Arabidopsis thaliana: one gene and its partner. The protein of the gene in region 1 interacts with the protein of each later gene in a pairwise test. Each region holds a gene or a part of one and is shown on either strand. Other genes may lie near its edges.

Region 1 (5,006 bases):
ACTTTTTATCTCCTCTTGGGTTGGGAATCCCACAAAATCCTCAGTGGGTGGAGAATTTACTTTGACAGCACTCTTCATATCTGACTGAACGTCAGCTAGACCTTTTGTAGCAGACATGTCCTCAACCAGGGTCACTGAGTCGCACTTTTCTGTGACATTTAACACTATAAATTTAATAAAGGAGAAAATTAATTAAGAAATAGATTCTAACCACACACTGAAGAGATTCAAACCATTTCTCTGTTGCCCTCCATTTCCTTTGAGCATCCAAGCTGCCTTATTGTCAACTACTGCAGTATGGATTTCCTGAATAGGCGTTCAAAATGTTCTTAGTGATCTATTATTCCAACAACATGTTTTAATTTGAGATCCGTTACATTGCATGAAAAAGACAGTTTTAACAAAATGCTCTGTACATTGGACTCAAGCTGCAAAGTATAAGTCATCAATATCAGACCATTACCCTGGCTTCAACTTCTTCTTGTGTTTCTTTAACGAAAGGGTGCTCACGAAGAGCAGGCCAGGTTAATCGACTGTGGGGTTCCTGTTTCGCATAGTAATAGAAAAACAGTTTAACCCAGTCCAGCAATGGTCTCAAACATATCAATAAATGGTAAAAAGGACAACTTAAAGAAAAAATAAATATATCACCTTGTTGAGCAATCCTTTCAAAAAGCTTTCGAAATAAGTACTCATTTCATCAGGATATTTGACAGGATCCTTGAAGATTCACTAAAACGTTAGCTCATACTTTAAGCATAGACTATGGAAAAATAAAAAAATATTGATATACCTTAACAATGTGACGAATGAGAGCATACACAGAATTGGTGTAGAAGGGAGGCTGACCTACATATAACTCGTACCTGATGTATTACAAGAGATTAATTAGAACCATATCAAGTGCATTGAAATGTGGATAACATAAAGAATACAGAAAACAAAAAACTATGAAAGAAAAGCCATCAGAATCATCACATTTATAGATGTAATAGCTTTCATAACAATAACAATTGAAGTACGACAACTCAGATGAGTTTCTCCACCTACAATATAACACCAAGAGACCACAGGTCGACAGTGCGATCGTATGGCTGTTCTTTCACAAGCTCTGGTGCCATGTACAGCGGAGTGCCTGATGTGATATTTTGGATTAATAACAAGGAGAGACTTATTGATTTATTCACTCATTAATACGTCTAAGGAAATTAAAGATCTTTAACCTTTAATGGATCGCAAAACCACAGTGTTGGTGGACATAGCTCGAGCAAAACCAAAATCACATAGCTGAAAAATCAAAGGGGAGACAAGTTAGTTGATGGCAAAGAGAAGTTAAAGAAATCATATAATCAAGCCGCATTGAAAATACTTATGTTTCTACTTATATTTAGCTAAGTGTATGAGATTCCTGGCTAGCCGTATCCTCTTCTAGTACTCACATGATTAACTTAGTTTTCTGAAATAATCATAGACGGAAAGATCCATGGTTCATAAATCAATTTTCAAGAAGTTAGCACGTAATCTGGTACTCATAAGAAGAGGAAAAAAGTAGAAGAATCGTATTGTAACGATAATTCTCTCCTAAATTTTATCTTTAAGAAACAAGAATATGAACAACTCATGTGTGTGGGAAGCATAGAAACAGCATTTCAAACTTAATTACTGGAAGCAGCAAAAGGAATGTTATATTACCTTAACGACAGAGCCAGCACCAATAAGAATGTTTTGTGGCTTCATGTCACGGTGAATTATACGGTTGGAATGCAAGTAATCTAATGCTTTTACCTGGATTTTAAAGAAGTTTCAAAATTGTCTTAATAATCAGATATAGAAATAAGAGCCATGTTGGCAAAACGTGTTACCAATTGCTTTGCGATTGCTTGAACTTGCTCTTCGGGAAGGCACTTGTCATCTTCAAGAATCTCAAACAATTCACCCTGTAAAATTGGGTGTTCCATGGTGATTCTTTATTTCATATAAGTCTAGCTATATGCTTCATAAATCAGTACTTTAGATTCTACAATCTACAGTGAGAAAAGTACTTGGGCAAACTCAGTGACGACACAGAACTCTCGTGCGTTTTCAAAGGAGTCGAGCATTTCAATGATATTCTCATGCTTGAGCTTCCGCAATATCTGAGGCATAAAAGAAATAATGTTGGTCAAATACCATAAAATTGATTGGGATTAAAGTTGATGGTAAGTGCAATTAAGGACTGAAACTTGCTAACCTCGATTTCTTGCCTTAGACTATGTATATCCTTGTCAGTCTTTCCTTGTTTCATGATGAACTTCATCGCCACCGTCTGATAAAAATTACCAAATTAAGAATTGATTAGCTGATTTTAAGTAGCCGATGATAACAAAGAGAACAACCCAGCAACAATTTACCTGGCCGGTATACTTGCGTCTTCCTTTGTAAACCCTCCCAAAAGATCCTTCACCGACAAGCTCTATCACATGATAATCCTCGACACCCATATCTGAACACGATTGGCTTTTTTTATCTGTCAAATAAAGCACCGTTTTAGCTTCAAACGGTAAAATGACGGTACCCAGACCCAAATAAGCAGAATTGAGGGAGAGTCTACTATATTCAGTCTAATTCGATTAAAAGCTAGTTTCTAAACTAGGGTTCCGTTCCGATTTCTTGTTTAGCATAAGCAAAAAGTAGCGAATCGAAAAACTGGAAACATCCAAATTAAGCTTGAAATGCAGATCCTAAACCTGATTGGCGAGTAAACGGGGAAATCGAAGATTTGAGATAGTAAAGAAGAATATTGAACCGTGGCTCACGAAAATGCGTAAAATAGGCGAAGTGGTGGCTGCCGGAGATGGTAGAACTGGGAAGTCGGCGACGAGAAACAGCGGAGGAGGTCTTCGGCGGTGAAACTAGGAGAGATCCGTTGGATCGATGGTTGAAGAGAGAGATAAACTCTGCGTTTGGATATTCTCGGAAACTTTTGAAATTCAAAAAGAGGGAAAAATCTTTGAGTCAGAGTAGTGTGTACTCTCTCTCTCTCTCTCTCAAACCTTATAAAAAAGTAAAAACAAACCACAAGTCGTAATTTCCGGTTTATTTTAAAAACAAAAGAACTCAAAAATATAAATTATTTATCATTTTCCAAATTGGTTCCTAAAATATTATTTTGATTATAAATAAAATATTGTTTCCACTGTTCCACATAAATCACCGATTATTATTCATAACATTAAAAAAAAACTTATAACTAATATTATAATAATTAACGTCAATTTCAAATTATGAAACAAACTATATATTTTCTAATCGTTTCAAAGTGACACCTAGCAATATCTATACAAACGTTTTAAGAAATGATACTAACAAAAAGAAATGATGTTAAGTGGGTGATTGGTTCGTCGGTATGTAGTTATAGATTTATTACTATAAAATTTTTGATGTAGGTGTGATGACTGTAGTCGTAGGGTTTATTGTTGTAAAAATTAGGATGTATATTTTATTGATATAATATAATTATTTAAATAAATTAGTTGTAGAAATAAGATTTTGATAGTATGTATTTTAAATAAAAAAATATTATTGGTAAATTATACTTTATATAATATTATTCCCAATTATCAATGTGAGTTATATATGTCATAAAGTAGGTATTTACCTACTATTTATATCCATATAACTAAATTTAATATATATATATATATAAAATATAGTAATATTTTTAAAGAAAATAAAAAAATAAAGTGAAAAAAAAAATAAAAAAAATATAGACCTTCTAAAAATCTTAAAGTTATGCTGTAGAAAAACTTGCACTTACAGCCAAAATAATTAAAATATATATATAAATATATAGTATTTGGGGTGTGAGAAAAAAATAGGAAAGTTAAAACATGATTGTTTCAATATTGATTGTAGGTTTTTTAGTGGCTTTATAAATCTTTTACATCCCAACCAATCATGTTCTAAGATTGAATTATAGTGTCATTTGAAAAAATGATACTAAATATTTTTTACCTTCACTAGTTTTAGTATCTCTTTTTAAAATGACTCTATAATTCGAGCATCATTTTAAAAATGATATTAAGATTTTTTTTTAAACTGATGTTAAACTCATCAATTTTGTAGTGATATCATTAAGAAATCTTAAGCAAAAGGAAATGGTTTCAAATTCACAATAAAATAAGCAAATTTATATATCTTTAAAAGATGACGAAACGTTAACGTCCATCAACCGAACAGTTAATTTATGTTTGCTACTATTCGTTTATTTAATTTAATTTAAATTTTAATTAAATTTATTATTTATTTCTTATTTACGATTAATTAAAAATGACTAATATGATAATAATTTATGGATACGGTAGTTTATACATTTACCCGTGCATGATATATATCAAACGATTGTAAAACTTCCCAACCGCCAAAATCATACTTGCTTGCACACGAAAGCATATTGCAGACGTCTTCTCTGCTATATGCGTCCGCGTTTGCTTTAGGCTTGAAGAAGAAATGCAAAGCACGTGCATGTAAACCCCCACCTCCAAGTAAAATTTTTAATTTGTTTCGGTTACTGTTTCTCTCAAAGATGTAACACCTAAATTGATTCAACAAGGGTTTTAATAGGTTTGATCCGATGTTTAATGTTTTTAAAGTCTCTGTTCGAGATTCTTCTTTTGGTGAGAAAGTGGCTACACTTTGGATTGATATAATAAAGATGAGCATATATAGCCTCCAAAATTTTGTAGGCATTTCAGAAATTTTTCGGATCATAGGAGGAACATGTATGTACCTTTTAAGTCTCATCATTAATAATTCTGTGTTTCATATTTTTACTGTGAAAATGAGAATGACTAACGATTTTATTTATCTGATTTTGGCATTAATTAACTTATTCAAATTGCTTTTCAGTTTTCATTGTGACATTAGTTCTTTATGATCTTATCATATGTTTTTTTTTTCTTTGTTCAGGACCAAACCATTACGTGATAATGAAGATAAAGCATTGGGACCGGTGGCTAGCATCTTTA
Region 2 (7,831 bases), on another chromosome or scaffold:
TTTTTCTACCTTTAAGGCTGAAATTTCTGCTGCAAGTGCATTTATGAATCTGGACTCTGCTCCTCTGACTCCAGCTCTTGCAGCTGCCTTTTTGACATCATCTATTCCGTCTTGAATCCTTCTATGTCTTGCAAGCAATTGCATATGCTTCTCTTCCAGGTCTGCATATTGTTCAAGCATCCGTGCATGCCCTTCCATGGCCATCTGCATTGCTTCTTTCAACTCCTCCCCGCATCTTTTCTCAATTTCAAGTTCATGTTTCTGCTTATTAATCAGCGCCTTACTGGCTTCAAGCTCAGTTCTTAATTCCTCGGAGAGAGAAATCCATTTGGTCTCTGCCTCTGTCCAACAAAGTCTTTCCTGTTCTAATGTCTTCTCAAGACTCTCGTCCTGTGACTCAGGAATAGCGTTAACTGGGGGAGCTTGGTATGAAAGCTTAAGCAGGGTACACGTTTTCAGAGCTGATTTAAGAGAAGGGTCAATGTAACATTGCAGCTGCAACTTCAAATCCTGAATCTCTTCCAATAACACTTCCCGTTCTCCCATGTCACCATAAAAGTTCTTGAAATTCTCGACCTCTTCTTGCGTTCTTTCCAACTCAATCTTCGTCTTAAGCACTTCAGGGTGATTCTGATACATGTCCTTTAGAAGCTGCAACATTACATGTCAGTAAAAGGGTAATGCAATCAAATACCCTTTTACAAAACGAGAAGCCACAATTACCTTATGTTCATGGAGAAGAGAAGCAAATTCTTCATCAAGGAAATCCTCCTTAGATAATACGCCATCCATAAGGCTTTCAAGGCGAATAATTTTGTCCTCCCTTGTTTGTCCTATGATGGCATTGCACTCTCTCTCATGTTTGTATTGTTGTACCTATTACACGGTTTGGACCAATTTATGTTTGAGGATACAGTTACTAAGGGAGATTAAAAACAGAAAAAGACGCAAGTATCATACCAGTCGGTTAAGTTGGGTTATCTCAGAGGCTTGTTTAGTGCAGAACTCTTCCAGAGCCATTTCCCTCCTGATAGAACCTGCTAGAACCTTTTCTACTGCCTGTAAAGTGTAAAACTCGATCAGTTGGAGGAACCAATTATAGAAATGTGGAAACAAAATAAGACTGTGAATAACTATCTAAATCTATGTTAGAAAAAAGTCACAGTTCTTACTTTGGGAACTTGATTCTTGGATTTTTCTGCCACTTCCGAGTTGTCAACAGGTACTAACTGAAGATTTGGCATGTCACCCATTTGCTGGGCATCAAATTGTTCTCTGCATTTGCATTTACAGCACAGAAACTCTTTTGTATTCTCCTCTGATATTGCATCAGCTCCGGGAATGGTCTGCACACCTGCATCAGCCTTACTTATAGAGGTCGAAGGCTCACTATCTGGAGCTTTGAAGGAAAACCTGTACGTCGATCGTCTTTGAGCTGTACTCTGGCAATACGACTCAAGAAGTTTAATTCCTTTGTGGAGGCTAGATGCCAACCGCTCAGTCCGTACAGGAAAAACTTTGCTCTTCTGCGTAGACAAAGCACTAGAACAGTTATTCATCTTTTTGGATGTAGCCGGAGATGGGTCCGCAGCTTCTGTAACTAAATTTTCTCCTTCACTATCCTTCTGAGATGCTGTTGACAATTCTGATGTCTTCAAGCTTTTCCTGCTATTTCTAATCGTAGGAGAGACGCTCAGTGTGGGAGATTTTAATACAGGAGTCGCACCAACTGGATCTATACAAAGACTGGGAGATGCAGAATTTACTAAGTGCTCTGGATCATCTACTCCATCAGCTATCAATACATTTGCTGAAGTAACGTCTTGCGGAACTAAGTCAGGGCATGATGACACATCCTCTGACTTGTTCAGTGAAGAACAAAGAGCATCCTTGACTGAAAGAGGCTGGAAACTGGACTCGTGATCTAAAGTTTGCGAGTGTGTCTTGATCTGATTTTCTCTGATGCCAGTCTCTGTCTCAGTTCTCATATTATCCACGGTTTCTGGTTCATGGTTCTCAGTATGGCAACAAGCATCCTCCATGGCAACATCTGAGTCCTCAGGAAGCCGCTTTTCTATAGATTGGCCATCAGATGAATGTATACTCTTTACTCTGTTCATATCGTGATTGATCCCCTCAGAAGCTAAAGATGATTGCAAACCCACTTGAACACAAAGCCTTTCAACAGCAGCCTCATCAATTTCCATCTCAATATCACCATCATTATCTTCATGAGGTAAGGACCTTGGATGACCCAGACCGAAGCTTCTTAATAAATTCAAACTTCTACGTGCATTCCATGCAGTGGAATAAGCAACATTTGGATTGGTTGGATTATTTCCATCATTCTTCATCCTTTGTAGTTCATCCTGCACAATTTATCCATTAAAAGCCATATTCATATTTATATTTCTATCTTATAAAATATGTAAAAGAATCCGTACCCTCAGCTGGTGTATCACTCCACGCAAGAAATTTACATCATCCTGCATCACTTCATTGACAACAGCCTTATTCTGTATTGCCTTTGCACGCTGAGCAAATCTCAAGGTGCTGAAGGTTTCACTCCTGCAACTGCAGTTTTCGTATATACTTTATATTCTAGAAGATGGAGATAAAATAATTGCTGAAGTGGAAATAGGGGTCCTGCGTTACCTTTGAGAAGGAGAAACTGCACAAACCATTGCTAACTTTGCATTCCCACCAAGAGACTCTTGCAATAAAAATGTTAATCTGGAATCCCTGTAAGGTATATGCCTTGGCTTCCCTGTTTGAGAAATCTCTGCGAGGATGTTAATCAAGTTCCTGCACGTAACAAATTTATATGGTAAACATGTAGTTGATAATTTCATCTTGTGGTAAACATCCTGCCAATAACAGGACTGGTGAACAAACCAAGCAAATCTTTTTCTTTTTACCAAGCAAAATTTGTATATCCTCAGCAAAAGGGTAAAGGATATACAATAAATCCACTTTGATAAGACAATCAGCAGACAAATAATTGCCATTTTTGAGGTCTGAAGACTTCAAACAAATAAATATGAACTTCTGGGAAGCCCAAAGTATTTTTAGATCCTCAGCAAAAAGGTAAAGGATATACAATAAATCCACTTTGATAAGACAATCATCAGACAACAACACATGGAGAGATAGTTGTTCTAAAATTAAATATCAAAAAGCACTGCTCAAAAGACACAAGATCCTCATAAGCTACTACCACCATATTTCAAATTATTTTCCATTATCCCAAATTTTCAGTTCTTTTATAATCAAAAACTAGATTTCTAGTGCCTGCCGCAGTATCAAAAACTAGAAGACACAAGAACAGCAGAAGCTAAGTGTCAGTTCTTTAGTGCATCCTGCAGTATAAAATTAACGAAAATTCCATGCTAACTGAGATCCAAAAATAACAAGAGAGACTACTCTGAATCATACCCCAGCTGAGAGAGCGATCGATTGATGTTCCCAGCTTCCTTCAGACGTTCTCCGGCTGCCCCAGTTGATTTTTGTCGTTCAGAACCAGCCAGATCAACAAGGTTTATTCGGCTTGTCTTAAAGCTGCTTAAGCCATCTGCAACATTCTGCAAAAAGTACATTCTAAAGAAGTCAGACGTATATTCCATCATACATTCATACTACTCTATATATTTTCTTAAAAACAAATGAAAAAATCTCAAAAAGCCAGTATATGAAAAATTTAATGTAGAAGAGTAGCTTACCTTGCACCGAGATTCAACAACGCAAGTAAATACGCAATGTGACCTTGAACTTTCTGTGTTTACACTCGTTGCACCAGTCCTTCTATTTCCCAAACCCTACACCAGTTTCAGACACAAGTATAGCTATCAAATATTATTTTTATCAGGAGAGAAAATATGTTGACCGTTTCATATATATTGCCAACTAAGGAACAATAATTTCTCTTAACTATCACTATAAAATGTAAGCTTTGTGAGATCATTTGATTCACACAGCATCACTAACAGAACATCAACGTTAAACCCCAGTAGCAGCATTCTATATAATCTGTGGCAATCTCTTCTTTCTAACAAAAACAAGTTTTCACATTGCTTCATTAAAACTTAATAGAATTACAAAGATATGATACCGGAAATTGTATTTTGTGTACTTTTAGAGCAGCAAGTTTGATTAAGTACTTAAGAAATATTGCAAAGCAAACATGATTTAAGGTGCAGTACTGCAGTGAGAAACCAAAAAGAATAACAAACCTTGATCAGAAGCTGTGACACGTCTGTCAAGTTTTTTACGTATTCCTCAGTCAGATTTTCAACATAAACACCTGACTTGACATCTTCTCTAATCTGGTGACACATTAACGAAAAACGATGAACCCCATGTTTTCCTACAGAATATAAACCAAGTTAAATTTGAAAGTTCATTTTACCATCAGGTTTTTCTGGCTTGGGTCCAGTAGGTCTGTTATTTGCTCGTTGTAAATCTGAAAAGGAAGAAGAATGAAATTATATATCAAACTCTATAAAATGAAACCTTCAAACACCATCCAAACTTATGTAATGCAGCCAGTCACTAAACCTCGAGTAATGAGCACCGACATTGGTAATTGAGTTGCCTTTCAGCATGCTTGACTTGTTCCTGCAATCCAAAAAAAGAAACAAGAAGAATCTTCTTCTTAATGTGCTAATAATTGAACAAGGTCAAAACCACGAATTGAACAAAACCAGGCATCACCTCTTTGATTCGGGCAAACAATCGTTCAAAGACACGTGGGGTCAAACCTCTTTGGTCACCGCAGAGGTGCTCTTCCAACAATCCATTTGCAGGACCCCACATGGTATATGTTTTTCCACTACCAGTCTGAGAGAAATAATTTCATGATCAGTTAAATCAATAAGTTACAATCAAACAATCCAATAAATGGAACCCTGCCTCAAAGGAAGACTTTAGAAAATAAAAACTACCTGTCCATAAGCAAATACAGAACTGTTAAATCCAGATAGACAATTTTCAACAAGAGGGGCTCCCACAAGCTGAAACATTTGTTCCTGAGGAAGAAACAAAAGACAAAGTTAGAGATTCGGAATCATACAATGACATAGCATAATAATATCAAGAATCATGCAAACAGATATCTTGCCTGTGTCGACTCCGGATTTGCAATTGAGTCGAATGTGAAAGTTTGTCCACTAACTGTGAGGGAATCTTTGGACATCTTTTCTACTATCATATCACCTTCCTCCCCTTTGTTTAGAGGCTTCATTCTAACTATAACCTGAAAATTGGCTCAATCTGATCACCTTCTCTTCCTCATTATAAATGAGTACGGAATTTCACAATTGAGCTATGTTCTAAAACAACCTAAGCCTTCACCAAGTCACTCTACACCTCTCCTATTAGAAACGTAACCAAATTTAGAAAGTACACAAACCATCTCCAATTAGAAACCTAACCAATTCTAGCAACTACACAATCTTTCAATTGGGGTGAATTCAAAGATATGATTCAACATTACTTAATTAGAAATTTTGTCTCGATAATACCTAATTTCTGAGAAAAGGGTGAAATTACCTTGACACCTGAGTCTGAAAACCCAGATTCCGTCGCAGTCTCCGCACTAAGTTTCCGTTTAAGAGGATTAGACGGCGGCGGACGCGGAGGCAACGGATTCTTCATTCTCATCGACCTATGGTCAGGCGTCGACGTGTTCCGATCTAGAGGTGGAGCATTTTCTTTGGCGGATCTTAATTTGCGTGGAGGCTTCGATTTCGAGATACTAGGGTTTGGCGAGTGTGGCTCTCCGCCGTCGCGTAAGATAGCGTTTCTTGGTAACGTAAAGTGCTTCTTCATCTCCGCCGTGAAATCTACAATTAGAAACCCAAAGTAGAAGAAAGAGGGAAAGTAAATCGAATCTGCGCTTCTACGAGAGCGTCAGTGAAACCCTAGTGTTTGGGCAAAGAAAAGAGGAAGAAGAACGAGAGAAGAGAAGAGAGAGAGAGCCGTTAAAGAGCGAGAATTTTGAATTTGTTTTTGTCAGATCTTGTGAAGTGTTGACGATTCGCATCACATGAATTTCTAAATTATTTTATTTAAAAAGAAATGAATTTTATGTGATCGTGACTTTATGGCCGTAGGATGAATCCAACGGAGGGAATGAGCAACAAAAAAAGAAAAGGCCCACGTGTGTGTTTAATGGTGTGTGTTTTAGTCTTTAGACGTGTGGTAGTAATACTGCCGCACGGGTTTTTTAAGATCCACCGCGCGTAAAAATCCAATCCATCCGCTATGGAGCGGGTATGGGTTTAAAACTTTTGACCCGTTACGAAGCATGGCTCGCGAGTAATCGTATCGTGGGTTGCAGATTTAGTGGTTGTCATTGGGCAGCAGTAGTACTCATTTCTATCTTCAACTATATTATATGTCTTTGACTGTGAATAAATGTAGTTCGAACGACAAAATCATCAAAGCAGTAAATTAGTCAATAGCACAGATTTTTTTTTTTTGGGTTAAAAGTCAATAGCACAGATGCGACCACATTTAGTCATTTACTTACAATTTAGTCTTACCAACGACATGAAGAGCTAATATGAGTGTCAAAAAATACAAAATTCGATGGTAGCGATGAGCAATCTCTTCAAAATTGAAGTAAGTGATTCTTATGTCATAAAATTCATTGAATACTAGACAATTCATTGAAGATGATGCAATTTAAAAATTAAAAATAAAAAAATTCATACATGATAAAGCATGAATTGAAATTCTTCATGCAATTTAAAAAAAAAATAAAAAAATTCATACATGATAAAGCATGAATTGAAACTAATGTCAGGTCCTCCGGACTTGGGAGCGTGTGCTAAACTGCTAATAATATCAAGAGAGTAAACAAAACCACTTGCAAATTTTATAAAATCTGCCAAAGATTAGCAGATTATGCTGATAACTTGGTACAATAGTAGGCAAAATCTTATTCTACTATAAAATCTTCTCAAGTCTTCACAACTATTCACCATGTACTTGAAGTCGAAAGAATGTTCTCATATATATATATATATTTTGTTACGAATGTTCTCATATATAGTATGCCAATAAAACCACAAAATTTGTCTGACACAAGATAGAGTATCATGCTTAGTCAAAATATGTAAATATTCTCCTAAAGTTCACAACTACTTGCACACTTTCATTAAGTATGCTGCTATGTTTACATATTATACAAATAAAATCGTAAATTTTGTTAGAAACGTGGCAAACTAGCATAAATAAATAATCTAAGGCTTCTAGTAATCTTTGCATTACAACTTGCATAATTTCCATAAGATCTATTGGATATTGTAAAATCTGCCAATAAAACCACGTATCTTTTAAGAAAACACAGGAGACTAACCAAAATAAATCCAACCGTATTATAATTCTCTAAATTTTACACATTGACTCACGAACATTTATAAAATCTGCCATATTCGAAAAATTTGTCAACAACATCCCTATAATGTTTGAGAGACATGAAAAATTAGCAAAACATATGCTAAATGTGCTAGTAATCCCTAATGTACGTTTACATAATTTTTTTTTTGACCGATTTTAATTAGAGCTCAAAAGAATCATCCATGAAAAATGTACGTTTACATAACATTTTCCATACTTTGTAAAATCCGTCAATGTTGGATAAACAATGTTATGAAAAACATTCAAGTCTACAAAACAAAACCTAAGTTTCTATGGCTTATAATTAATCCCATAGTTTTTTAATCATGTTAGATTTGTTAAAATTTTGCTAGCGTTGATGATTTTCTTGTATTCTAAAATTTTAATTTTTTGAAAAAAATTAATTCGAGAAATTTTTTCACTAAAAAGA

What was found.
Region 2: the proteins of FU (region 1) and PAKRP1 interact in binary tests that used the Arabidopsis thaliana proteins (3 or more experiments, as listed by UniProt).

Annotation. Positions count from the first base shown.
Region 1 is NC_003070.9:18,604,537-18,609,542, reverse strand, and holds the start of FU (kinase family with ARM repeat domain-containing protein), read right to left. Parts: upstream 3,033-5,006; 5' UTR 2,727-3,032; intron 2,507-2,726; 5' UTR 2,481-2,506; coding exon 2,391-2,480; intron 2,306-2,390; coding exon 2,231-2,305; intron 2,136-2,230; coding exon 2,043-2,135; intron 1,938-2,042; coding exon 1,863-1,937; intron 1,786-1,862; coding exon 1,693-1,785; intron 1,288-1,692; coding exon 1,224-1,287; intron 1,136-1,223; coding exon 1,051-1,135; intron 867-1,050; coding exon 794-866; intron 721-793; coding exon 652-720; intron 545-651; coding exon 464-544; intron 307-463; coding exon 234-306; intron 150-233; coding exon 1-149. Other genes in the region: AT1G50220 (B3 domain protein), read left to right, coding at 4,968-5,006. UniProt on the Arabidopsis thaliana protein: Plays a role in conventional modes of cytokinesis in meristems and during male gametogenesis but also acts in nonconventional modes of cytokinesis (cellularization) during female gametogenesis.
Region 2 is NC_003075.7:8,159,183-8,167,013, forward strand, and holds the start of PAKRP1 (phragmoplast-associated kinesin-related protein 1), read right to left. Parts: upstream 6,033-7,831; 5' UTR 5,827-6,032; coding exon 5,548-5,826; intron 5,252-5,547; coding exon 5,117-5,251; intron 5,025-5,116; coding exon 4,941-5,024; intron 4,837-4,940; coding exon 4,711-4,836; intron 4,615-4,710; coding exon 4,555-4,614; intron 4,460-4,554; coding exon 4,406-4,459; intron 4,323-4,405; coding exon 4,230-4,322; intron 3,816-4,229; coding exon 3,720-3,815; intron 3,582-3,719; coding exon 3,436-3,581; intron 2,806-3,435; coding exon 2,656-2,805; intron 2,575-2,655; coding exon 2,445-2,574; intron 2,370-2,444; coding exon 1,173-2,369; intron 1,060-1,172; coding exon 961-1,059; intron 877-960; coding exon 724-876; intron 652-723; coding exon 1-651. UniProt on the Arabidopsis thaliana protein: Plus-end directed kinesin-like motor enzyme that plays a critical role in the organization of phragmoplast microtubules during cytokinesis.